Rhinolophus ferrumequinum: one gene and its partners. The protein of the gene in region 1 purifies or fractionates together with the protein of each later gene. This does not show direct contact. Links are inferred from orthologs where the notes say so. Each region holds a gene or a part of one and is shown on either strand. Other genes may lie near its edges.

Evidence for each region. Proteins that work in one complex are often made in the same cells at the same time.
Region 2: the proteins of SYMPK (region 1) and CSTF2 purify together in Homo sapiens (affinity purification with mass spectrometry; 4 studies listed by BioGRID and IntAct, with this or other methods). This does not show direct contact. The link is inferred for Rhinolophus ferrumequinum from reciprocal best matches to the Homo sapiens genes SYMPK and CSTF2.
Region 3: the proteins of SYMPK (region 1) and CPSF4 purify together in Homo sapiens (affinity purification with mass spectrometry; 4 studies listed by BioGRID and IntAct, counting the BioPlex papers as one, with this or other methods). This does not show direct contact. The link is inferred for Rhinolophus ferrumequinum from reciprocal best matches to the Homo sapiens genes SYMPK and CPSF4.

Annotation. Positions count from the first base shown.
Region 1 is NC_046298.1:42,117,627-42,125,442, reverse strand, and holds the start of SYMPK (symplekin), read left to right. Parts: upstream 1-4,285; 5' UTR 4,286-4,399; intron 4,400-7,683; 5' UTR 7,684-7,702; coding exon 7,703-7,807; intron 7,808-7,816. Other genes in the region: FOXA3 (hepatocyte nuclear factor 3-gamma), read right to left, coding at 3,263-3,331. UniProt on the Homo sapiens protein: Scaffold protein that functions as a component of a multimolecular complex involved in histone mRNA 3'-end processing. Specific component of the tight junction (TJ) plaque, but might not be an exclusively junctional component. May have a house-keeping rule.
Region 2 is NC_046284.1:53,626,941-53,635,362, forward strand, and holds the start of CSTF2 (cleavage stimulation factor subunit 2), read right to left. Parts: upstream 3,590-8,422; 5' UTR 3,536-3,589; coding exon 3,478-3,535; intron 2,402-3,477; coding exon 2,323-2,401; intron 1,507-2,322; coding exon 1,337-1,506; intron 641-1,336; coding exon 504-640; intron 35-503; coding exon 1-34. UniProt on the Homo sapiens protein: One of the multiple factors required for polyadenylation and 3'-end cleavage of mammalian pre-mRNAs. This subunit is directly involved in the binding to pre-mRNAs.
Region 3 is NC_046290.1:89,660,544-89,668,179, reverse strand, and holds the start of CPSF4 (cleavage and polyadenylation specificity factor subunit 4), read right to left. Parts: upstream 3,590-7,636; 5' UTR 3,438-3,589; coding exon 3,335-3,437; intron 1,536-3,334; coding exon 1,485-1,535; intron 1-1,484. Other genes in the region: PTCD1 (pentatricopeptide repeat-containing protein 1, mitochondrial), read left to right, coding at 5,845-6,324. UniProt on the Homo sapiens protein: Component of the cleavage and polyadenylation specificity factor (CPSF) complex that play a key role in pre-mRNA 3'-end formation, recognizing the AAUAAA signal sequence and interacting with poly(A) polymerase and other factors to bring about cleavage and poly(A) addition.

The sequences.
Region 1 (7,816 bases):
TCACACAGCAAGAAAAGGGCAGAACTCGGTTTCTGAATTCAGGCAGTCTGGTTCCAGACCAGTGTTCTGGATCATGCTATAAAACAGCAGTGACCAAAACAGACTGAAATGCCTGCCCTCATGGAGCTGACAGTTCAGCAGGAAGTGAACAAGATAAGGAAAATACGAAGCACGGTGGATAGTGATTTCTCTTTCTGTGTGTATTTACTCCTTTCATCCACTGTCTTCCGTCCTCTCTCCTTCAATACTTCACCTGCTCCCTGTCCCTGCTGGGGTCTGCTGGCACTGCGGGTGCTGCTCCAGCTCTGGCTGGAGCCAACTTTCTTACGAGGCAGTGGGTCCTTTCTCATCCCCTGTCTGTGAGCATCTGCAGGTCCCAAGGTCCAGAGAGAAAATGGACACTCTGAGTCAGGGACAGGTGGCAACCAACCCAGCTCTGAGTTCTAGTGGAGAAACTCTCCCCTCCCTCTTTCATAGGTCTGTCCACGTAGCAATTTTCTCTCAGGTCTCTGAATCTCCCTGGTGGTTCTGTGTGTGTCTGTCCATCGCCTTCCTTGTCACCGTACCTCTATACCCCTTCCCTCCCCCTCCCCATGTTTATCTCCTCCTGCCCTGTCTTTCCCTTTCCCACTGTCTCTCCTCCCCACATTTTTTTCCTTTCTCTCACCCTCTGTCTCTCTCTACCCCACTCCCCTCCCATCTCCCCATTTCTCTTTCTCCCTCAGCACACCTTTGTATCCATCTGCTTCCTTGCCTCAGTATCACGCTCCTCAGAAATCTCACGTTGAAATTGGATTCCCAGCTACTCCCCTCCCCTATGCACTGGTCTCCCCCATGGTTGGCTGCTTCTGCCCCCTCCCCAGATTAAGGGAAGAGATGAAGGGAAAAGGTGATGGATTTAGGGGGATCTACAGAGAATTCCTAAATTCCTCTGCAACCCCCCTCCCATTTTTCCAACTCAGTCGGACTCTCTTGTATCACAGAGGAAGACAGACTGGGACCCCAGGGCCCTCCTTTTCTGGCTACCTACCCACCCACCCGGAAGTCCTCCTTGAGGTCTGATCTCTAGAACTCCAGCTGCCCTAATCCACCCTAGGCTTTCCCACGCCCCGAGGCTGGGATGAACCCCCAGTGTCCGGGTCTGAGCCGGATTTCCCTGCCAGGGCGGGGCTGAGATTGGGGGGAAAGCCCTCAGGGGACCTGCACCCCCACCCCAGGAGGCTGAAATTTCTCGCCTTTCATTTCCTTATTGTCTCTGGAGGAGGGTGTGACGACGGATCACAGGGAGGCAATGTGAAGCCAGAAGCCTAGCTTCTAGCCCCAGTCTCTACCCAGGACCTAAAGAAGCCCCCAACACTCCAGGCGGCTTCAGGGTTTCCCTCTCTGAAGTGGGGGAGCAGTTGGACCAGCTGATCTGTGGGAACTGGGGGCCAACAGGGCCACCCCAGGGTGATACCTTTCAATTTCCTTCCACACGGGGAGCCAGCCTGGGGGTGTTAATATCACCCCAGCAGGAAGGCGTGGAAGGCCAGAAGCACTTTGGGGGACCTCACAGTTCTCAGTAGCTGAGTAAGTGTGAATGTTTCTCTGTACCTTGTTCTGACCCAAGGGAAGGAGGTGGCTCAGATGATGGAAAGGCTGGGGAGACCCTCAGACAGTATTTCCATCTCCGGCCCCCCATGTCAACTCTTCCAAAATATGCCCCAAAATGCTGATCATCTCTAGACTGTCTCTCAATTTCTGACACAATGTGTCCCCTAAACTTCAGAGTGTGCCCCACATAAGGATTCCTCCATCCTAGATCTCCACATTTACTGATAAGGTGTGTCCCCCAAAACACTGATTTGTAGTTGGTTCCCTTAAATCATATTCCCAGACTCTGAACTGTCTGGAGGTTCAGCTGGGATGCCCCAATACCTGGGAGCCTTCACCTCCAACCTGGTCTCTGCCTTCTGACACCTCCAGCTGCCGATCTCCACCTCTCAACACTTCCAATCCCCCCCTCCCTGGTCGGCCTGCCCCACCCCACGTGCAGCTCACACCTTCACAGCCCCAGGACTGGCCCCTCCCAGGCACCATGCCAAGCCCCGCAGGCCCGGGGATCCGAGAGACCCACATAACAGCATCAAACCCCAGACCCAGGACTCAGGCACCTGGGAGCCCCTGTAACCCTCAGATCTCAGCCTCCTTGTAAAACTCAGACATTCAAGTTCCCCTGCCTCAAGTCCACAGTCCCCTTCCAGGTTAGGAATTTAAGTGTCCAGATCCCCCCTCCACTTCACACTGTTGAGTATAGAGACAGTGAGCTAAGGGGGAGTCCTTGCAGCAAGAGGAATGGGAGTTAGACCAGGGGAAGGACTTTCTGCCTGCTGGGGTGAGGGAAGTAAGATATACCCTGCCCCCTACTCCAGGGTGGTCTAGTCAGAGATGGGGCTAGTGAGGACATTAGCAATTACTGGAGATTACTGGAAGGAGGGTAGGGAGGTGTGAAATCTGAAACCTTCTAGCCTCCAACAGGAGAATCCCTGCTGAGGGTCTCTAACAATTAAAGCAGTGAAGTTCAGTTGGAAGGGGTGAGGGTCAGGAGTAGGGGTGGGGGTGGGGAATGGAAATCGACCCCTCCGCTGCTCTCCCGCTTCCAACTCCGATCTCATCTGGGCCCCCATCTATCTGAACCCCAACTCTAAACCACCTGTTATTCCAGACTACCAAAACTAACCTCCATCTCTTATCCTTGAGCACTAACCCTTATTTCTGACCTCATCTTAGATCGCACCCTGATCCTTATCCCTGAACCCCAATGTCCTAACCCTGAGCTCTCACCTCAGATTTCCCTTAATGGTGACCTCCCTCTGCCATCTCTTAGTTCCTGTCTTTCCCCCCAAATTTGAAGCCATTTCCTAATCCCCCAGCTCTGTCTCCTATTCTGGGAGGTCTGATTCCTAGCTTTGGTTTGTTCATTTTAATCCCTTGGATTTGGGGTCACCAACACCCAGCTCTCACGTTTAAGCTATGACCTGATCCTTACTTAAGTTTTCCTGACTCCCATTTATCGCTCACTCCGACTAGCCTGGGGTAACCGCACTCCCATGCCTGGCCCCGTCCCTGAATCCCACACCTGGTCTCCGTGTCTCTAGTTCCTTTACTCCTCAACTCTAGTTGGAGCCCCCATTCGAGCCCATACCCCAATCCTTGCCCTCATTTAAGTCCGCACCCTGATTCCTACCCCACACTTCCCGCTCCGCCATCCCCGAGGACACACCTCGCCGGCCTCCGGGTAGTAGCTCCACTCCGCCAGGTCATGGGCCTCCATCTTCACGGAGCCCAGCATCCCCCGGGCCTGCGCCCCCACCTGCCCCTGCTCCGGCCCGGGGGGAACCGAGCGCTAAGGATCTCTCAGCCGGCACGGCCCGAGTTCCAACCGGCGCCCGCCCGTCCGACTGACTGCCCAGGGTCCCAGCCGTCCCAGGCGCCGCGGGAGGCGTCCACGCTTTATAGTCGGGACACCCCCCCCCCGCCCTCGCCCGCCCCGGGCTCCCCTCCCGCCTCTCCCTGGGCGGTGCGCTCGGACTGGGGCGCCCCCTGCGGGATTGCGAGGAGATAGACCTCAGGCGCCGGGAGCCGCAGCCCGGGGACGTAAGGGCTGGAGATGGCTGAAGAGTGAGGGAGCTACTGCTGGGAGACACTGCTGATACTAAGGTCCCCGACATCAGAACTCTGGGGCCCTCCACCCCAGGGGCCCCAGACATCATCTTGACAGTAGAGGGCGAATAGCTAGAACCCAGCACGACCGCCGCGGAAGAAAGGGGCCTCAGAGCGCAGTGAACTCCTTGGATCCAGTCTGCCTCTATAAGGACCGGTAGGAGAGCCTCGAAACCACAGTCCCATTAGGTGGACTGGAATACTGAAGCTTCCGACAGCTATTAATAGAAATGCTCCGAACTGTCCAAAAGGTCAGGACCAAAGGTGGAGGAAATTGGGGCTTCTGTTCAGACTCCACTAGGGCAACAGACCACCTCCAAGACCTAGGAGCTTCGCCGCCCGTACTCTCCATTCTCGCTAATACCAGCCGTCCAGGAACTCAACCACCGTGAACTCCGTTTCCCAGAAGTCTCTGTCTCCCTTCCTGTCCCGAGCCTCTGCCAAGGGACTATATTTCCCAGAAGGCACGGCGTTCGAACGCCAGAAATGAAGAGCCACCGGGAGTATTCCGGAAGGCCGCTCGCTGGGCTAGAAATAGGGGTGGGGTCTGCCTACTGCGTGGACTCCATTTCCCGGCGACCCCGTGTGTGCGGCGCGTGCGCAGTGTCACGGCGGCGAGCGGAAGATGGCGGCGGCGGCGGCGTCTGGGAAGAGGCGCTGCTGAGGGGGCGCGAGGGGGACGGAAGCCGGAGCCGCGGTGAGCTGGGGTGGCGTGGGGGCCCGGGGACCAAGGGAGGAAGGACCCTGAAGCGGCAGGAGCGCTGGCAGAGGGATGGGGGCAGAGGAGAAGGGAGCAGTGACGTTTGGTACTCCAGTTTCTTCCCTTGCTCAGGACTCTCCCGTGGGTCCCTAGTGCCCTTAGGGCAAAGTTCCAACGTGGCCCCCAAGGCGCGTCCGTCCCGCGGCCTTGGCTCTGCCTCTGCTCATTCCTCACTTCGAATAGTTGCATTGGTCTTTCGGTTCCTCAAACTCGCCATGCGCCTTCAGGCCTCAGGATTTTTGCACATACTGTCCCCTCTGCCCGCAACATCCTTTTACCCATTCTGCCAGGCTAACTCCCATTCATCTTTCGGGTCTCTGCACCAACGTCACTTCCTCTGCGAAGCCCTCCTTTCCTGCCCTCCATCCCGAAATCCTCCTGTTAAACGCTCTCAGAGGTCCCTGTACCTTCCCTTCATGTCATGTGCCCTCTGATTTGTTATTGTACCTTTGTTTGTTTGACTATTTGATTATGTCTGTCACTGTGAGCTCCACGGAGGCAGGGACTGGGTGTATGTTGTCACTGCTGTGCTCCCAGCACAACGCCGTCACACTGAAGACACCCAGTTAATATTTGGTGAATGAATGAAAGATACTCCTGGGGCCACTGTGTAGATGAGGGGAGTCCTCACGCTCCCAGGTGGGAGGGAGGCAGTGGTACTCCATAAGGAGGACACCGAAAGGAAGGGGAAACAATGACTGTTGGTAATAGCAAAAGATTGCAAGCACCCCACATATTTTCCCCCTTCTTCCACCCCCACCCGGTTTCAAGCCGTTGTTTCTCAGTCTAGTTGTGTAGGACACAGCTCCCTGGCCCATGCTGGTGTTATGAGTCTTGCGCTCCCCCCAGCTGAGGCAGTTGGTCTCCAGTCGTCGGTCGCCTGCTCATGGCAGCTCTCGCCAGCTGCTGGCCACTCACGATGGTCCCCGGCCACTGGCTGCTCATGGCAGCACATGGTAGCCCAGCTCCAGGGAGAGCCGGTGCTCACAGTCTTAGCTGTAAAGGGCGCAGCTCACTGGCCCATGTGGGAATCGAACCGGCGACCTCGGCGTTAGGAGCACGGGTGCTCCAACCACCTGAGCCACTGGGCCGGACCCCAAACATTCTTTAGTAGAAAGACTGGCAGAAAAAAACTGATAACATCCACATGACAAAATACTATGCAACTGTAAAAAGGAACAAGGAAAATCTCTTTACACTGATATGGAGAATGGGCTCCAGCATACATTAAGTGAAAACAGATGAAAAGGAAGATGGTGTTTAATATATGCTCTTTTTATAAAAGAAAGGGAAACATGTATATACCTTACAAAGAAAATAAAAGTAGAGGGGGCAGTCAGTTAGCTCGGTTGGTTAGAGCGCAGTGCTCTTAACAACAAGTTTGCTGGTTCGATACCCACACGTATTACCATCATGAAAAAAAGGTTCACATGAAAAGCTTCATTATGTTCTGATGGGGGACAGCAGTGTGCTGGTTGTTGGGTGGCCATGAGTTGCATGAACAGATGTGGGGTCTATTAATAGAAGACCTGGTCTTATTTTCGGGGAAACACAGTAGGTAGTGTATAGATGATAATAAATGCCATGGAGAAAAATGAAACAACACAGATGGGGAGAGAAAGGAAATTGAGATTTGAAATAGGGTGGTCAAAGAAGACCTCACTGCCAAGGTAGGTGAGCTGAGACCTGAAGGAAATGTGGAGGGAGAGAGTTGTGCCAATATCTGGGAAGAGGAGTATTCCAGGCAGAAGGAAGAGAACCCCAAAGGTTTTGAGGAAGGGGCACGCTTGGCATATTCAGGGGACAAGGAGGCCAGAGTAGCTGGAGCAGAGAGAGCAGAGAGGAGCTGTGGGCAGAGATAGAAGGGACCAAATCATGTAAGGTCTTCTAGGCATTGGTGAGGACATTGGCTTTGACGCCAAGCAAGATGTGGGGGTGACAGGCAGCAGGGATACTAGGAAAGAGGATGCTGGATAGTCATTCGTCCTGCAGACACCCTCAAATTTTTGTTAACAGTTTATGTAGTATCATTCCGATCTTTTCTCATGTCTATAAAAATGCAGCTGTACTTATCTCATGTTTACTGTGTGTCCTAACTCAAGGTAGTCCTTCCTGCGAGGCAAGCACTGTGACCACCTCTGTCTCACAGAAGACAAAACTGACTCAGGTCGCTCTGTGTAGACATACGCAAACTTAACAAAAATGGATTGAATTGCACATGTTCTGTGATGTATTATTATAGCAGGCTGTGGGGGACATATTTTTACGATGATATTGCACTGAGAGCCACTCATTTCTTTTTTTGCCGTTTCCTTCCTCTTCTGCTTTTTGGTTTATCCTTTCAGTTTCTTTTCTTCTTCCTTTTTTTAAACATATACACATTTCCCTTTCTTTTGTAAAAAGGGAGCATACAGTAAACATTGTCTTCTACTTTGTTTGTTTTCACTGAATATATGCTGGAGCCCACCGATCATAAGTGTATAGAGATTTTCCTCATTCCTCCTTTTTCCCTCCCTCATTCCTTTTCGCAGCTGCATAGTGTTTTATGGTGTAGCTCTATCATACTTTTTCAGCCAGTCTTCCTCTTTGAGAACCCTTTGGGTGCTAATAGTCTTTTGCTCCTTAGTCCTGTGATTGAGATCCTTCTTATTTCATAGTTGTGCCACTGTGACTTTGGGACAGAGCCCAAAAGTTTTCCCTCCCCACCCCACCCCTTTTTGAAAACAACTCCATAGCATTTCAGAAAATGGCTGAAACATAATTTATTCAACTGAGCCTTTTCTGATGTATTGAGTACTTACTGTGAGCAGGACTCTGTGACTGGTGTGTTTTAGAAAGCTTGCTCTGGTGTCCAGTCCAGAGTACAGCCCAGATGAAGAGTCAGGAAGGCACTGCGGCCAGTGCCTTAGCTGCTGTGTGTTCATTTGTTCCGTCATTCAGCACATGTTTGTGGTCAGCCCGCTACGTATGAAGTACTGGAGGTGAGTCTTGGTGCTCCACGAGGTACTGCCTCTGACCTGAGAGACATCGATCATCCCCAAATTACAACCCCTGTGTACACTTACAATCTGAGACAGACCCTGAAGTGGAGAGGGGCTTCAGTAAACCCAACAAGGACAGGACAGGCTGGAAAAGACGTTGGAGTCCTTTGTGGATGGTGGGATGAAACTCCCAGCCCACGCACAGGCTCCCAGAGCTTGATCTATCTTTTTCTTCCCCAGGGAGTACTAGACAGCAGCCATGGCAGGCAGCAGCGGGGACAGCGTCACTCGCCGGAGCGTGGCATCACAGTTTTTCACACAAGAGGAGGGGCTGGGCATTGATGGCATGACCACTTCAGAGAGAGTGAGCATG
Region 2 (8,422 bases), on another chromosome or scaffold:
TCCGTGCTTCCTGGGGACTATTCTGGACACAGAGCTGAGAAGATAAACAGATTCATCATCAGGTTTAATATTTATTACTCAGAAATTAATAGTTATTTAGAGCCATTCCCACCTGAGAAGTGTAATATTCCAGAGGCTTTTTAAGCTGTCACTGGTTTTTACACAGCACACACAATCTTGGTCATGGCAGGCAAGAGAAGAGGCATTTCAAATACCACATTATCATTTAGGGAAAAAGCCACATTTTACTATCTACATCTGTTAGCTATGGGTCACAGAAATACAGCCAGACGGTGTTGGTGTGTTTGTGCACAAGAATGGAAAGCTCTCTGCATGAAATATAAAACACACCAGGCACACATGGAATATTGAAGGTGCAAGAAATGGTGGTCAACAGGCACGCCTTCTATTTGAGCTCAGGAAATCATTTCCATTAAGTTTATTAATTAACTCTTGAGAATTTGATGTGATTGGATTTATTCATAACTTAATCCCCCTCCCACCTTCATTTGTTTCATCAGCTCAAACATCTGCTCTGGTGGAAGACTGGCAACTGCTTTGCTAATGGACTCAGGGGCATCCTCAGGACTGATGGTCTCTCCATAAGGTGACTCAATGACGGGGGCACCAGTGCCAAGACCTGATTAGGAAGAAAGTACGAAAAAGTTAAGGAGGCAAAATAAAGAAATAAATCATTTCAAGAATCTACTTTCCAGGGCTGTTTAAGGACACACTGATAACTTTAAATTCTCTAGAGCTCAGAAATAAATGATTTCCAACTCTCTTACTTCTGTGGAGGAAAGTGACAGAATGCATTTTCTGTTCTCAAGAGTAAAGCTGGGACCAGGATCACATAGGTGGACAATGTTAACCTAAATTAGGGATTAGGCACATTAACTTTCTTTGGCAAGCCATTTCAGAAGCAAAAGGTTTAAACAGAAAAATATGCTAATATCAAAATGGAATTCCTGGATCTATAAACCTCATTAAAAAAAAAAAAAGCCGTAAGAATGCTAATATCCCCACCACATACAGATCTGGCCACATAGTTACAGGAGTGGCAAACACCAACGACCTAGTTAGCACTAATCACTTGGTGAGCCTGAATTCATCTTCAACTGGAATCAACTCCTTGGCAACTGAAGGACTTCTAAAGTCAACTTTACCTTGTTTCTCAAAGATATACACTTCCCTAACGCAAACACCTTAGGTGGGTCAAGTAAAGAAGCTGAGTGGGTAACCATTTCAGCAGATGCTAAAACATATCATAAATGGAAAATCTTCATTATTACATCTTTACTAACTCGTGTTGCATACAACTTGGGTTTATACTCACTCTTCAGCTCTTCTTTGTTCTTTTCACTGGCAGCATTGTCTACTCGAAGTGCTCTCCCACTGAATTCACGCCCATTCAGGTTTCGCATGGCACTAAGTGCTGTCTCTTGGTCTTGGTATTCACAGAAGCCATAACCCTTTGGCTTTCCTGTCTCCCTATCATATACCAACCTGGAGAGCACAACCAAGTATAGGCACAAATGTTACATACACACAGGGTTCCTGCTAACATTGCCATATTCCAATTTGGTCAACTGTAAGACAAATAACCTTATCACTCACTGAAATATTTTTTAAACACTTCTTTTTTAATTTACCAATTACAGTTGACATGCATAAACATTTTTTTTAAAAAAATGAATCCCTCCCCCAGCTCAGTTGACAAGAAGATTTTCCAGGGCAGGACAGGTCATAACGACCAGTAACTTCTCTGTGACTAGTGAAGGGGCTTGCGCAATTTGGTGTGGTGGGAAAAGCCTTCACCCAGCAGTGTTGTCTGTAGAAGTAACAATTATAGGGGCGGTGGAGTAGGGAATGCTCACAGCTCCACTAGCATGAGGTTGTAATCCTTGTTGGAGAGAGCATATTTTTTTTGGCTTGACTATGAGCACATGCAGCAGATTCTGCAGGAAACCCAAACCAGTTACACATACCTGGCTGACCCTGAAGCTGAACACGTGCATCGGAAACACAAAAGTGCCTAGCGGAGAGTAGAAGTCTGGGCATATTTGAAAATGGCATGCACTTTGAATGCCACCTGCCCATACCCACATACATTTAAAGAAATCTATCTTTTAGTAAAAATGAATGGGAATTGCATGGTATGTGAATTATATCACAATGAAGCTGTTACAAACAAACAAACAAACAAACAAAGGAGAATGCATGTGAAAAGTCACCAGTATAAACCCTGTCATAATTACTAAGGGCCAAATTTTGTGATGATTTTTAAAGAAACTCCCACCAGGTAGTGAAAAGGAACCTCACCTGAAACTAACAACAGGTCCAACTTCAGAAAAGATGTCCTTTAATTGCTCTTCAGTAGCCTCGTATGGAATGTTCCCCACTAAGAAAATAGGTAACATTAAAATTCTGAGTTTGTAACCTACATCTTTATTAAGAAAATACAGTACCTATTTATATCAGAAAATGTGACAACTTGCTCAAAATACAGTGCTCCTCCAATCCCAGTTCCAAGATTTCAATCTCGCCGGCTAACTTTAATTGCAAGAGAAATAAACCACTGAAACTAAATACAAAAGGTGTAGACATTTCTAAACACCTTTATCAATTCTCAGACTGATCTGACAAGTGTTGGATTTTCCTTAACTTTGGTGAAAAATACTTAGGCATTGCTATTTACCTGAAGGGCTGCACGTCTTATCAGTAACTACTAAAAATAGCAACATTTTAATTCTTAAAACCGGCTCATATGTCCGGATTACTCCCCCACCCCCCACACACACTCAAAGGAGAATGATCGTGGAAGTAGTGGAAGATGTTTAATAATTATTCTTAAGTGTTTTGTCATGTCCCTTCCAAAAAGTGATTTAAAATCACCACACATACTTTAAAAACACAACTTATTTCGGCTGAAAAGATTCCTTAGAATAGATTCGATCCTCTTTAAAATTTCTTCGACGAGGTCTTAATCGTTCATTCATTCATTTATTTACAATCCACCTTAAGACGCCAGATTGCCGCTACCACTACCAACGAACTAAAATGTTACGGGCTAAAAGCAGAGGATTAAAGTCGTTAGGAGCGAGCGGGAAGTGGACACAAGGATCCCAGCACATAATCTGTATTCTGGGAGAGGGGATGAGAAGTAGTAGGGGACAGCTGCCATGCGCATTCGCTTCTAGAAAATTGAAGCTCGTGAAAGGAGAAACGCATAGAAGTTGAACGCTAGTTTAACTTCCTCAGCCACATCGTGGTAGGGCTGCAAAACCTCGGAGTAAGGGGAGCATCCCTTTGCCCACGAGTCCACCAGCTTGCCCGCCGCACAGGAGGCAGGGAGAGCTGCACGCCGGCCCCATCACCGGTTCCCGCGTCGATTCATGAGATGCAGGGGGCGTTCCTCGCCGCTCACTGCCTCTTTCTGTCCCTTCCCCATGCTTGGTTCCACCGAATTCCTCTCACCGAACACTGAACGTAGCGAACGATCCACCGCAGGGTCTCTCACAGTCAAACCCGCCATCGCTCTTCTCCCGAGGCTTCCGGTGCGCCAGGGCACTCTTCCGTAAGGCGCGTGCCTCCAGCGCCCAACAGGCTTCCGTATTGTGCGTGAACCGGAAACACCTGGCCCGGCGGACGCAGGGCCCCCTCCCCTGGCGTCATTCCGTCACAGGCCGCGCACGTTACTTCCAAGAGAACATTAACCCTTCCGGGCAGGGCTGCCGCCTGTCGTTCACGGTCGGATTCGGGTAGGCCCAGGCTAATTTGAAGCCTTTATTGTTCATGTTTTACTTAGGCTAACGCAAGTAATTGTCGACCACAATAAAGATGGAAGCAGTGGCTTTACCATAGTAACAGAGAAGTCATTTGCTAACAACCATGGCACTTTCATTTTAATTACGCCCTGTTGGGGGAGGGAAATGCTTGGCCGCGCCCCAGCGGCGTGCACATTGTCATTTTGCAAATACTGTGAGTTTACGGAGTGCGATGGGGAAAGAAAATCGCAGCAGCCTAGAGAATAAGAGAGTGAGGGGCACTCAACGTTAAGGCGTTAACATAGCTGAGCAGATGGGGAGGTAAAGGGAGAACAGACCCACGTCTACGCTGGTCTAGCCCCTGGGCTCCATGTTTCTGGTAATGGGGGCGGGGCGGGGCGGGGTGGCCGAGGACATTGGCCGGCAGGGTTTCAGAAAACATCAGAACAGGAAACATCATTGACCGGTGGTACACAACAAGCAGCTAAAGCATGATTTGAACTCAGGTTGCTTTGGCTCCAGAGACTGAACGCTTACTGCTGTATTTATTGCCTCCCAGGATAACTGAGAGAATATGGGTGGCTCAACATATTACCATTGCTGGAAAAGAACTTAGAGCATGTGACCTGAGGATGTTGGGTCAATGACTCACAATATAATAAACCACCCAAGACTAGGTTGAAGCACTTAGCCAGAGCTTGTTCTGCTGCGATTAATCATCTGTGGAGAACTTACTGTTGGTTCTATCATTTCATCAACCAACCCTACTCTACTGGTTATAAAAGAGGAGGTGTGTGCAAGGAATATTTCCTAAGTTTTGCTTTTTTATATTTGAGTTTCACTTATAGGCAATGTGCTAGTGACCCCATCCTCAGTGTCTTTTGTCCATGAGAGTCTTGGGAAACTTCACTGTGACACTCCCAAAGTGACACATTTCCTTTGCCTTCCAGTTATAGCAAAATAAAGACGGAAGATGGGACGTCTGACACTGTTGTAGGTATTATGGCTTGGCCTCATTTAACACAATGATACAGGTACAGTATGAAGAGGTAGGAGGAAAACTAGGAAAGGTACATTACTACACAAAACGGACTAAATATATAGGATAGGTGTTATTTGGGGGCCTTAAGCAGAAGAGAAAGGCTTTGTATGTAGCGGAGAATCAAAGAATTTGGGAAATCACAGGCAAGATTTGTGGGTCATTGGCAGGAAGTTTTGTGGAAAAGTTCTGAGTTCTTATCCAATCTTGTTGATGACACTAAGAATCTTAGATAATGTACAATTGAAGCAAGCAAAGACGTTCAGAATTGTGAGGGCCCAGAGACTTGGGTTCTTTCTTCTGACCATAGAAGGTCAAACTTCCAAGGCTGGTTAAGTACTACTTCATGTTTGACCCACATTTAAAGCTCCTCAAAGAGTCATGGAATGAAATCCCTCATTGTTCCTCCAGGGAATATCTGGGAAGGCAGCAACTCCTGGACAGACATCATGGCATGAAAAAGATTCCAGATGGCACTGTACCCATGTTAGGAGAAATCCTCAGTAAGTAATGCCTGAAGAGCTCAGGAAACTAGGAGCCCTCAGAGAGCACCTGAATGCTGAAACAGATCCTAGTCTGTATCTGGACGTAGGTACCAATTGGTTTGCTTTCCAGAAAGAAACATCATTCCTAAGTTTTGCACTACTGCATTATCACACTGGTTCTGCAGCAATATCTGTACTTTCTGGGAATATTTAAGGGTTCAGCTCTGAGGCTACTCGACAGAGAATTGTCCAGTCCATCAAAGCTGGTCATTCTGGTCTTTTGATTTTAGCATTTTCATTTTTTATTTCTTATCTAACTGCTTTTGCTCTCAGTTCATGCTCAGTGAATACATTTTCTGTATTCCTTTCCCAGAAGGTTCAGAATTCTTCACCTGCTCAAAGGCTGCCTTATAAGATACATTGCTTGGCAGCAGGCCAAGGAGCTGGGTGATCTCTTGAATTGGGGGAAGATTTCCCCTGTTCTTGGCAATGGCGTGGTGACCTCTTCTTGCTGAATGAGGACTGCTTCCAAGCCAAACACTAGGGAAAACAGAATAAGAGGAGGAAGTCTGAGTTCTTTCCTTAGAATCCACCAACCTTGTCTAAAACTTAAGTCTTTTGGGGGACTTGTTCTGTTTCAGAACCAGAACTCTAGGAGACTATTGGCTTGGCACTTGGAATCCAGAATTTAGTAAAACAAAAGTGGATGTCACTGGACAGCATTTAAACTCCAACAGTGTGCTGCTGGGTGAGCATGACTGGATAGAGCATGTGGATAATGGTATCAGATTGGGGTTAACAGGGTAATAATGATTAAAACAGCTAATATTTGTGAAGGGCCATGTAGAATACAAAGCTTTTCCACATAGATCTCACTTGATTCTCATAATACCTGGGAAATAATTTTAGTATGCAATTTTTTTATTGTGGTAAAATAAAACTTACCATTTTAACCCATTTTAAGTGTACAATTCAGTGGCATTAAATATATTCACATTGTGCAACCGTCATTACTGTCCATCTCCAGAACTTTTTATTTTCTTAGACTCGAACTCTATACCCATTAAGCATTAATTCCCCATTCTCCACTACCCCCGTCCTCTGGCAACCATCACTCTACTTTCTGTCTCTATGAATTTGACTACTGTAGGTACCTCATATAAGTGGAATCATAACACTATTTTTCCTTTTGTGTCTGGCTTATTTCACTTAGCATAATGTTTTCAAGGTTCATCCATGTTGTGACGTGTCAGAATTTCCTTCCTTTTTAAGGCTGAATAATATCCCATTGTATGTATATACTACATTTTGTTTATCCATTCACCCATTGATGGACACTTGGGTTGATAAAGAGATACATAGGGTGAGGTCTGGGAGGGCCCCGACTGCTGGAACTTCTTTCCCCATGGAGTTGGGGACCCTTCTGGTACATGGATGTGTTCACCCACTTGGAAATTCTTTGAACTCCCTCCATTTGTGACAGTTATGGAGGCATCATCACATAGCCATGATCAATTATTAACTCCATTTCCAGCTCCGTTCCCTCTCTGGAGGATGGGGGGGTTGGGCTGAAAATTCTAAGCTGCTAATCATGGCTTGGTCATCCCATCCAGGAATCCACCCAGAGTTGCCTCATTAGAACAAAAGGTGCTTCTAATGCTCTTATCACTTAGGAAGGTACAAGAGTTTTAGGAGCTCTGTGCTAGGAACTGGGGGGCAGAGACCAATATATTTATATTTCTGTTATCTCATACTTTTTTTTTTCTAACTGGGGAATATTGGGGAACAGTGTTTTTCTAGGACCTATCAGCTTCATGTCAAAGTCATCGTTTTTCAATCTAGTTGTGGAGGGCGCAGCTCACTGGCCCATGTGGGACTCGAACTGGAGACCTTGGTGTTATGAGCACTGCACTCTAACCACCAAGCCAACCGGCCGCCCACCGTGGGCTCAGCTCCAAGCTCAAGCCATTGTTTTCAGTCTTGTTGTGGAGGGCGCAGTTCACTGGCCCATGTGGGAATCGAACCAGCAACCTTGTTAAGAGCTCGAGCTCTAACCAACTGAGCTGTCCGGCCGCCCCGTTATCTCATACTTAATGATCAGTGAGGTTGAACATATTTTAATGTGTTTATGGCCCATTTATAAATCTTTTTTTTTTCTTGGAGAAATGTCTGTTTAAGTCCTTTTCCCTTTTTTTAAATTGGATTGTTTGTTTTATTTGTTGTTAAGTTGTACGAGTTTTTTAATAGATTCTGGATACTAATCTTTTATCAGATATATGATTTCTAAATATTTTAAATATTTGTAAATATTTTTTCCTATTCTGAGGGTTGCTTTTTTACTCATTTGATAATGTTTTTTGATGCATAAAAGTTTTTAATTTGTTTTTCATTTTGATGGAGTTTATTTTTTATTTTTTTATTAGTTTCAGGTGTACAAAACAAAGTAATAGTTAGACATTTATAATTTATATCCCTCCCACAGTGATAACCCCCCTCTCCCCATCTACTACCCCTCTGACATCGCAAACAGCCATTACATTTCCACTGTCTCTATTCTTAATGCTGTACTCCACTTCTTGTAACTATATATGTATATAAAATTGCAGTTGACATTCATTATTGTTCAGCTTCAGCTTCAAGTGTACAGTGCAATGATCAGGCATCTACACCATCCCTGAAGTGGTCTCCCTAATGAGACAAGTGTCCATCGGGTACCCTACAAAATATTTACAACATTATTGAGTACGTTCCCCAAATTCACTTTCGTATCCCCGTGGCAATCTTGTGGTTACCCATTGTGCTTTCTAATCCCCTCACCTTCCCCGTTATACCCACCTCTCCCACCCATCTAGCAACCCTCAGTTTTTCTCTGTCTCTGAGACTGTTTCTGATTAGTTCATTCATTTATGCTTTTCTTTAGATTCCACATGTAAGTGAGATCATATGGTATTTGTCTTTCTCTGTCTGACTTATTTCACTTAGCATAATGTTCCCTAGGTCCATCCATATTGTTGCAAATGGTAAGACTTCACTCTTTTTATGGCTGCATAATACTCCATTGTATAAATGTACCACAGTTTCTTAATCCAGTCATCTACCTATGGGCATTTCGGTTGTTTCCATGTCTTGGC
Region 3 (7,636 bases), on another chromosome or scaffold:
TTTCACAGGTATTACTATAAGATAGAGGCTTAACAAGTCTAAGGGTGGCATGGGGGTGAGGTGGGGTTGAGTTTATTTCTTAATTTAAAGAATAGGTCCAGCAGTACACAGACATGGTGAAAATTACAGGGGGAGGCGTGGGTTGCGGGGAGTGGGGGTTTGGAAACCCAGCCCTAAAAGATAGAAGGTAGAGGACCACCAGAAGCCTGGACTCCAGGCGGGCTCCATCTTTAGTTAGAAGTTCCCACTTAACCTTCACGAACTAAGAAGATCAAGTATAGAATTAAAGAAATGCATTGTATACAAACTCGGGGAGGTCTGCCTTCTATAGCCGGACCTGAGCGATCATCCATCCGGATGTGACAGAGCTATATCTGCGAAAGTCATATTTCTAAACAGTGGCCTGGCAGGACTACTGGGAAGGCCTGACTAGAATGAGGCTGTGACTGGAAAAGATCTAGACCCACCCACTGCCAACTTTCTGCAATGGTGGCAACATTCTATATTTATGCTGTCAAGTATGGCAGCCAGTAGCCACACGTGGCTATAAAACACTTAAAATGTGACTAGTGTGATTGAAGAACTGCATTTTTATTTAATTTTAACTAATTTAAATTTTAATAGCCACATGTAACTAGTGGCTACTGTATTAGTTAACAAAGAGACTGGCATATTGCTGGTGTTAAGGACAGATGGTGGCAGGTCAGAAAGGCACAATTACCAAGCAAGGACGTGGCCATGAAACCAGCCCAGGGGCGATGATGTTCCAACTAGACACCAGAGGTCAACCGGGTGGATCCACTTGATAGGTCTATTGCTTCAGTTGTAAATGACTGAGTTATAGAACCCAAACTTGCCAAAATCAGCCATAAAAAAGAAACTTGCTCTAATTCTGTGCTCCCTATTTAAGCTTGTGATTAAAATTGCTTATAGGAAGAAAGATGCCCAGACCTCTACATGGTATGTAAGGTCCTGCCCTGCGAGACTTCTTATGAATTAATGGATAGGTAGTCTGGCTCATGCAGCCTCTGTTGGGCCCTGGTTAGTATGAACGTGACTCCACGAGACACTATCATGGGGTTTTTTGATGAGAGGACACAAAGGACAGTGAGCCCGTGTCGACTCCGTAGAACCAGAAAGGCCTGGATTCAAACACTGGGCTCAATCACTCACTAACTCTGTGACTGTGAGAAAGTGCCTGAGCATCTCAGTACTAGGCGCTTCTGTTCATGTCATAGGTCAGCTTGTGGCCACAGGGAAAGTGAGATGAGAAGGCCAATTCAGAGCCAGCTTCCATCCTGTGTTTTAGGTTTCAGGCAAAACACTCCATCATGTTCTCATGTACCTAGCCTACCCAAACCACAATTTCATCTAGGGACATTGTCTGCAGAAAGCCATGTAAGCTAGAGACCTGATGGCCTGCAAGTCTGCTAAGGGCTAGGGTGGTGGAAGGAACATCCCCCAGGGAGCCAGGGGTCTCTTACCTTTGCCACAGGCTGCTTTCAAAAAGAATTCGCAGACAGCAGCCCCTGACTCTGTAGAAAGGAGAGAATAGGAGAGGCGTCAATCAAAGCAACGTAGGATTACTACTGGTAACATCTGAAGATGGGGGAGGGAACTGTTCTGGTCTTTAACCCACTAAGGGTTCATGGTATAGGTAACAGACTGGCAAAAAAAATGCAAAGCCAAACCAAGCAAGAAGAAAGTTGCTTATTTCAGTCACTCCCCGTAAAATGAGACATATTGTTGAGAGTAATCATTATTCAGGGCTGAGAGCTTCCTACAATAAAGATGCTTTCAAGGAGTCAAGCGTGTGTGGGGGAAGGAAGGATGGAGCACAAGATCACAGAAATTAATTACACTGTGCTTGGACATTCCAGAGGGCTAATTTAACGTGAGGCAGAAGGAGGGAATGATCTCACAGGAAACACAAGCGAATGTGGACCGAGGACGGACAGGCTCCAGAGAGATGCTATTTGGGCGGGGAGAGCATAATTGAAGATACAGAAGTAGGACTGCTCTTAATATGCAGCAGCAACACACAATTATTAAAGGGGCAGTCTTTTGCTTCCACAGATGCAGCTAGTTCAGATGAGGGGAGCAAGAGAACAGAGGCTGAGTGAGCGCAATGGAAGTCAGTGGGCTCAGGGGACAGGCTGTTCCAATGCGCCCAGGACTACCCCTGCTATCAGAGTAAACCTTCCGGTGTCATAAACAGTTTTCTCTCTCACAGGGCATTTCAGAATTGCTGAAAACCTACAGACAGCATCTCTGAAGGCCACTTCCGTGCCTCTTCTTGCTAACTTGCGAGAGATTCCTTGGTTTCTCGGGAGCAGGCATATTTTGCTGGGAGAGACTTAACGGCTGTGGAACTGGGAGTCCTGGGCTGTCACTCATTTGCATTTCAAAATGTCTCACAAAAAAGAGTTAGGGTTGCTTCCTTCATTCCTTAAAGCCCGAAGTCCCCAGTCCTGGGGACTGGGTGTCAGGCAGACAGAATAAAAGAATATGCCTCCAGGGCAGAACAGACAATTCTTCCCCAAACTAAGAAATGAAGTTCAGGGACAGGGCCTGTGGCCTCCCTGGGCTTTAACACACTGGACTTGATCACTGGCAGGCAGTGCGCTGAGGGCAGCTACCAAGTCTGAGGCCAGTCAGGGCAGCACCCGTGGCTAGTTATGTCCTTGACCCTCCCTAGAAACAGGTCTGTGGGCCCCTCACCACTGCGCCTGCCCTCACAGACTCCAGTATCTGTGGTCCCAGGCTAGAGACAGGTGGGATGGAAAGAGCTGTCCTGCATGGATGGTTCCACAGCCTCAAGCTAGTGCTATCAACAGTGGGGGGAGCGCAGGCAGCTGCCAGGGTATGATGAACGACTCAGAATTGGGGTCCAGAGAAAAAGAGACAGGCTCGCAGGAGTGTGCGTCCTAGGAGAAAGGAGCTTGAGAGTCTAACTGAGGATATCCTACAGAGGAGTTCCTTCCCTCAGCCAGACTCCTCCAGACTCAGCTCTGACGAGAGCAAGAAGAGGGAGCTCGCTCACAGTAGGGGGCTGGAGGGGGGAAGAGAGTTATACGGTATTTTCCTGCAGGCGGGGAGTGTGCGGGGGTGGGGGAAGGATTTTCAACCCAGAGTACCCGCCTTCATTCAAGAATTATTTGAACAGCCAGACTAGGTCTTGCCCTCCTGAAGTTTGTCTTAAACTAGTCCCAGGGGATCAAAGACCCGAGTCCAAGTCCGAGGACCGAGGGGGTGGGGTCATGAGTCCACGGGGTCGGGTCCCAGGTCCGAGTCGGTCGCACCCTTCGCCTGCCCGCCCCGGCCCCACGCTCACTGTCCATGCCGGGGAAGGGGAGCGGCTGCGCCCCGAGCTGCTGCTCCACCGCGATCTCCAAGTCGAACTTGATGTGGTCCACGCTGGCGATGATTTCCTGCATGGCGGCGGCGGCGGCCCCACCGGCCCGGCTCCCCTCAGTACCTCGCCGCTCTCACACCTCTACCTGCCACCCGCCACCGCACACGGTCCTCCTCCGCCTCGCCTCGCCGCCGCCGCCGCCGCCGCCACCGCCGCCGCCGCCCGCGGAATGCCGGGAGCGCCCAGAGCCCGCGCCTGCCTCTCGCCTGTTCAGACCGGACCAATCGAGCGCGGAGTACGGGCCGCTCCGCTAGGCCCTGCCAGCCGCCAGCCAAACCCGCGTCTCACCTCGCGGTCGCGAATAACTTATAGGCGCAGGGAATTCGCAACGTAGACTGCGCCTGCGCGAGGTTTGGCTGGGACTCCGCGCCTCGGAGAGGGGGGCGGGGAAGGGGAGTCAGAAGCACGGAGGGGCGGGTTGGGGACGCGGACCCGGAGTCGGGCGACGCGGCGCGGACATCGGGGCCGTGTTCACTGCCCTGGACTCGGAGTGAGTTCCTATTTGATCCTCACCGGAGCGTGGAACCTGGGCGGGGACAGACCAGAGGGGCAGCGAGTGTCACTGCCGGCGTTGAGCCCGGGGCGTCCCGTGAGGAAACCGAGGTTCTAAAGATCAGTGTGGAGGGGTTGGGTTGGCCTGAGGCTCCAGGAATGTCTGGGGAGGGGCTGGTCCCCCAAGGGAGAACAGCGGCAGCGTATCTCTAATTCAGTGGTTCTTAGCCTAGGGAGATTAATGAACTTGGGTAGGAAAATTACACCTTTATTGTCTCTGTGAAATTGAGCATTTCCTTTCCCGACTAACGAGTAGCGTTAGCAGTGCCCAAAACTCCAAGACGAAGTTGTGATTTCAAGTGGTGATGCGTGTAAAGGATAGTTGGAGATAGAGTATGTGCAACTACTACAAGCTATCATTTCCACTCATTACTACTTTAACAGGATGATAGATAGGATCTTGTTTTAGTGTGTTGAAAAGAAGCTTATATACCTAGTATAGCGTTAAGTTTGTTTTTAAGACATCTGATACCTATCTCGATTTTTTTTTGTTATCTTATGTATTTCATTTAATGCATGTAAACACTTTATTTAATGTGGCTAGTTGAAATTTTAAGATTACATATATGCTACCATTGTTTCTATTGGAGTCTTTCTATTGGAGTCGCAGGCCTCACCAGCCATGGAATGGTGAAGGCCCTCTGCACTAGTGTCTCTAGGGCGCTAGTCAAGAGAGGCCGTCCTTGACCTGGGCTCAAAGCCAGCCCATTTCCACCGCTGGCCAGCCTTGCCCACAGCACTGCTGCAGGGCCCCCAGCATGTCACTCCCTACCTGGGCCTCAGTTATTAGTCTGCCGTCACCTCTGAGGTCTTTCCAGTGGTGATCTGATATAACCAGGCCTTAAAATATTTTCATAATGGTTACTCTGATATTTTTTTATGAAAGAGTTTTAAGTATACAGAGCAGGACCTCTGGCCTAGTACTGTCCAGTAGTAATATAATGTGACCACTATGTAATTTTAAATTTTCAAGTAGCCACATTAAATAAAGTAAAAAAAATTGTGAAATTAATGTTAAATTTTCTTTAGCCCAGTGTATCCAAAATGTTATCATTTCAACATGTAAAATAATTGTGTGTGTGTTTTACATTGATTTTTTTGTGTGCAAAGCCTTTGAAATCTGATGTGTATTTTGTACTTTTAGCATATCTCCAGATTAGCTGTATTCATGTGCTCAGCAGCCACATGTGGCCAGTGGCTACCATATTGGACAGCACAGTTCTAGCCCATTTGTCTACGACTTGCAGAAAAGAAGTGCTTGAGTTAGCTTTCCTGTGCAGAGGCCCAAAATGCCAACAATTTTTTTCCTAATATTAAATGATTAATAGCTGCAATTTTTTGAACACCTATTAACTGTCAGGTATTGTGTTAAAAATATATCATTAGTCCTTATAATCTCGTGCTGAGGCAAGTGGGGTTATCCTTACCTTGCTGCTGAAGAAATTGAGACACAGAGATGTCAAGTAATAGGCATAGACACACAGCTCTGGCTAGGACTCAAACTCAGCTGTGATTTCAGCACCGTGCTCTTTGATCATAGTTTGATAATATCCGTAGCTTATGTCTGTTGAGTGCCTAATGTGCCAGCACTGTGCTGCACACTGTATATCTGAGACTTCAATCATTGCTATAGTGTTGTGTGGGTGACATTATAGTTAACCCCAATTTACAGGCAAGGAGACTGAGGCTAGAGCATTGAGTGCCCAGGGACTCATGGATGGTTGTTTGGCAGAACTGAAGTCAGAACATAGGCTTTCTAACCTCAGGGCTCATGCTTATGACCACTTCTCTGTCTTTCTGCCTTTTTTGGACTATGAACCTGAGTTAACTTCAATATTTTTCTGACCTGTGCCAGGCCCTGGAGGTAAAAGCCAGAGATGGACCTTGTGAGACTCTCCCGGCTCTTTTCCAGCCCCCGCCCCATGGGACTGTCTGTCCTGCAATGCCTTGACCCTCTACGAGCCAGGTGGGCAGGAGCTAGGGAGGGGCCTGCTTGGCTGAGGGCCATGGGGCCGACTGGGCCAACATCAGCAGCCTTCAGCAGCTCGCCCTCTCAGTTGCCCCTCAGCCAGGGGAGCCAGAAGAACACGCACAACCGCAGCTCTGACCTGAGCCAGCCCAGCCCCATGGCCAACCAGGAGGAAGAGGAGGAGGAGAGTTTTGGGACCCTTTCCGATAAATACTCTTCTCGGAGAATGTTCCGCAAATCAACGGCCCAGTTGTATAACCTACGGCTCAGGGAACAGAGTGTTAAAGAAGATGAAGAAAACGAACTGGATCCAAAATCATGGCAAGGCCGGAGAAACACCCCTTACTGGTACTTCTTTCAGTGCAAACACCTGATCAAGGAAGGGAAGGTGAGGGAACTTTTGGATTCTGCTGCTCCTGGCTCCTCCATTGACGGTAGCCCAGTACTTTGTGAGGGGCCACTTTGCTTTCTTAATCTCTAAAGGTTGGGATGCTCACGGCTCTTCTCTCCTCTGTCTTTCCTCACCTGGGTGCTGTACCAGGTGACCCGCCAGCCCCCTGGCTTTCAGTGCCCCCCTTCACTGCAGCTCTTGTATTTGTATCTCCAGCCTGGACTTCCCGGGGACTCCCGATCTGTGTATCCAGTTACCTCCTCACCATCTCCCTTCCACTTACCCACATGGACCTGAAATTTTTGTTGCCAACCTTGTTTTCCCTGCACTTTCTTCATCTTACTAATTGGCAACCGCATTATTCCGTCTGCCCAGGCCAAATGCTTTCAGGTTATTCCTAACTCTTCTCTTTCTCTCACCAACTTCAAAATGTTGTCAGTCCTAACACTTCTCACAATCCCACCCCTGAATGCCCGCCCAGGCTTAGCCTGCTCCTTGCCCTCACAGCTGTTATCCTGGTTACTGGGCTCCCCACTGCTCTTGCCACCTTCTGCCTTGATGTCAGCTCACAGCATAGAACTTTCCAGTTAAAGCAGAAAGCAGATAGCATTAACTCTTCTCCAAAATTTCCAGTGTAGTCAGTGATGTTGAAGGTATTCACTTTCTTAAGTATTGATAATGACATTCGTTTGTTTACAATTCTCTTAGAGGTACATGTTGAAGATTTTATGAATGAAATGATGTCTGGAATTTGCTTTAAAAAATTCTGTTTGGAGGAGAAGTGCAGGGTGTAGATGAAACAAGACTGTCTAAATGTTAATAATTGTTGTAGTTAGCTCTTCTCTCTACTTTTGTGTATATTTGAAATTTTCCGTAATGAAAAGTTGAGAAATAAACAAAGAGAAGCCAGAGTCCTCACAATGGCTTATGAAGCCAGCGAGGTCTGCTACCACCACTCTTCAGCCCTCGCTGGCCTCCTCCCCCATGTACTGTGCTGCAGCCACCCCCGTCTCCTCTCTGCTCCCAGGCGTCCTCCTGCCTCAGGGCCTTTGCTCTGGCCATACCGTCAGATAGCAAAGGGGCTTCTTCCCTCACCTCCTTCACATCTTTGGTCACCTGTCACCCTGTGGATGAGGCCCTGCTTGGCTGGCATATCTAACCCTGAATCTCCTATACCCTTCTGGCACTTACTGCTTCATTGTTGTTCATAGCACATTCCACATACTATGTATTTTTCTTGGTCATCTCATTTGATGTCTGTCTTTCCGCACCAGAGGATAAGCTGCTTGAGGGAGCTCCATCTTGTTCT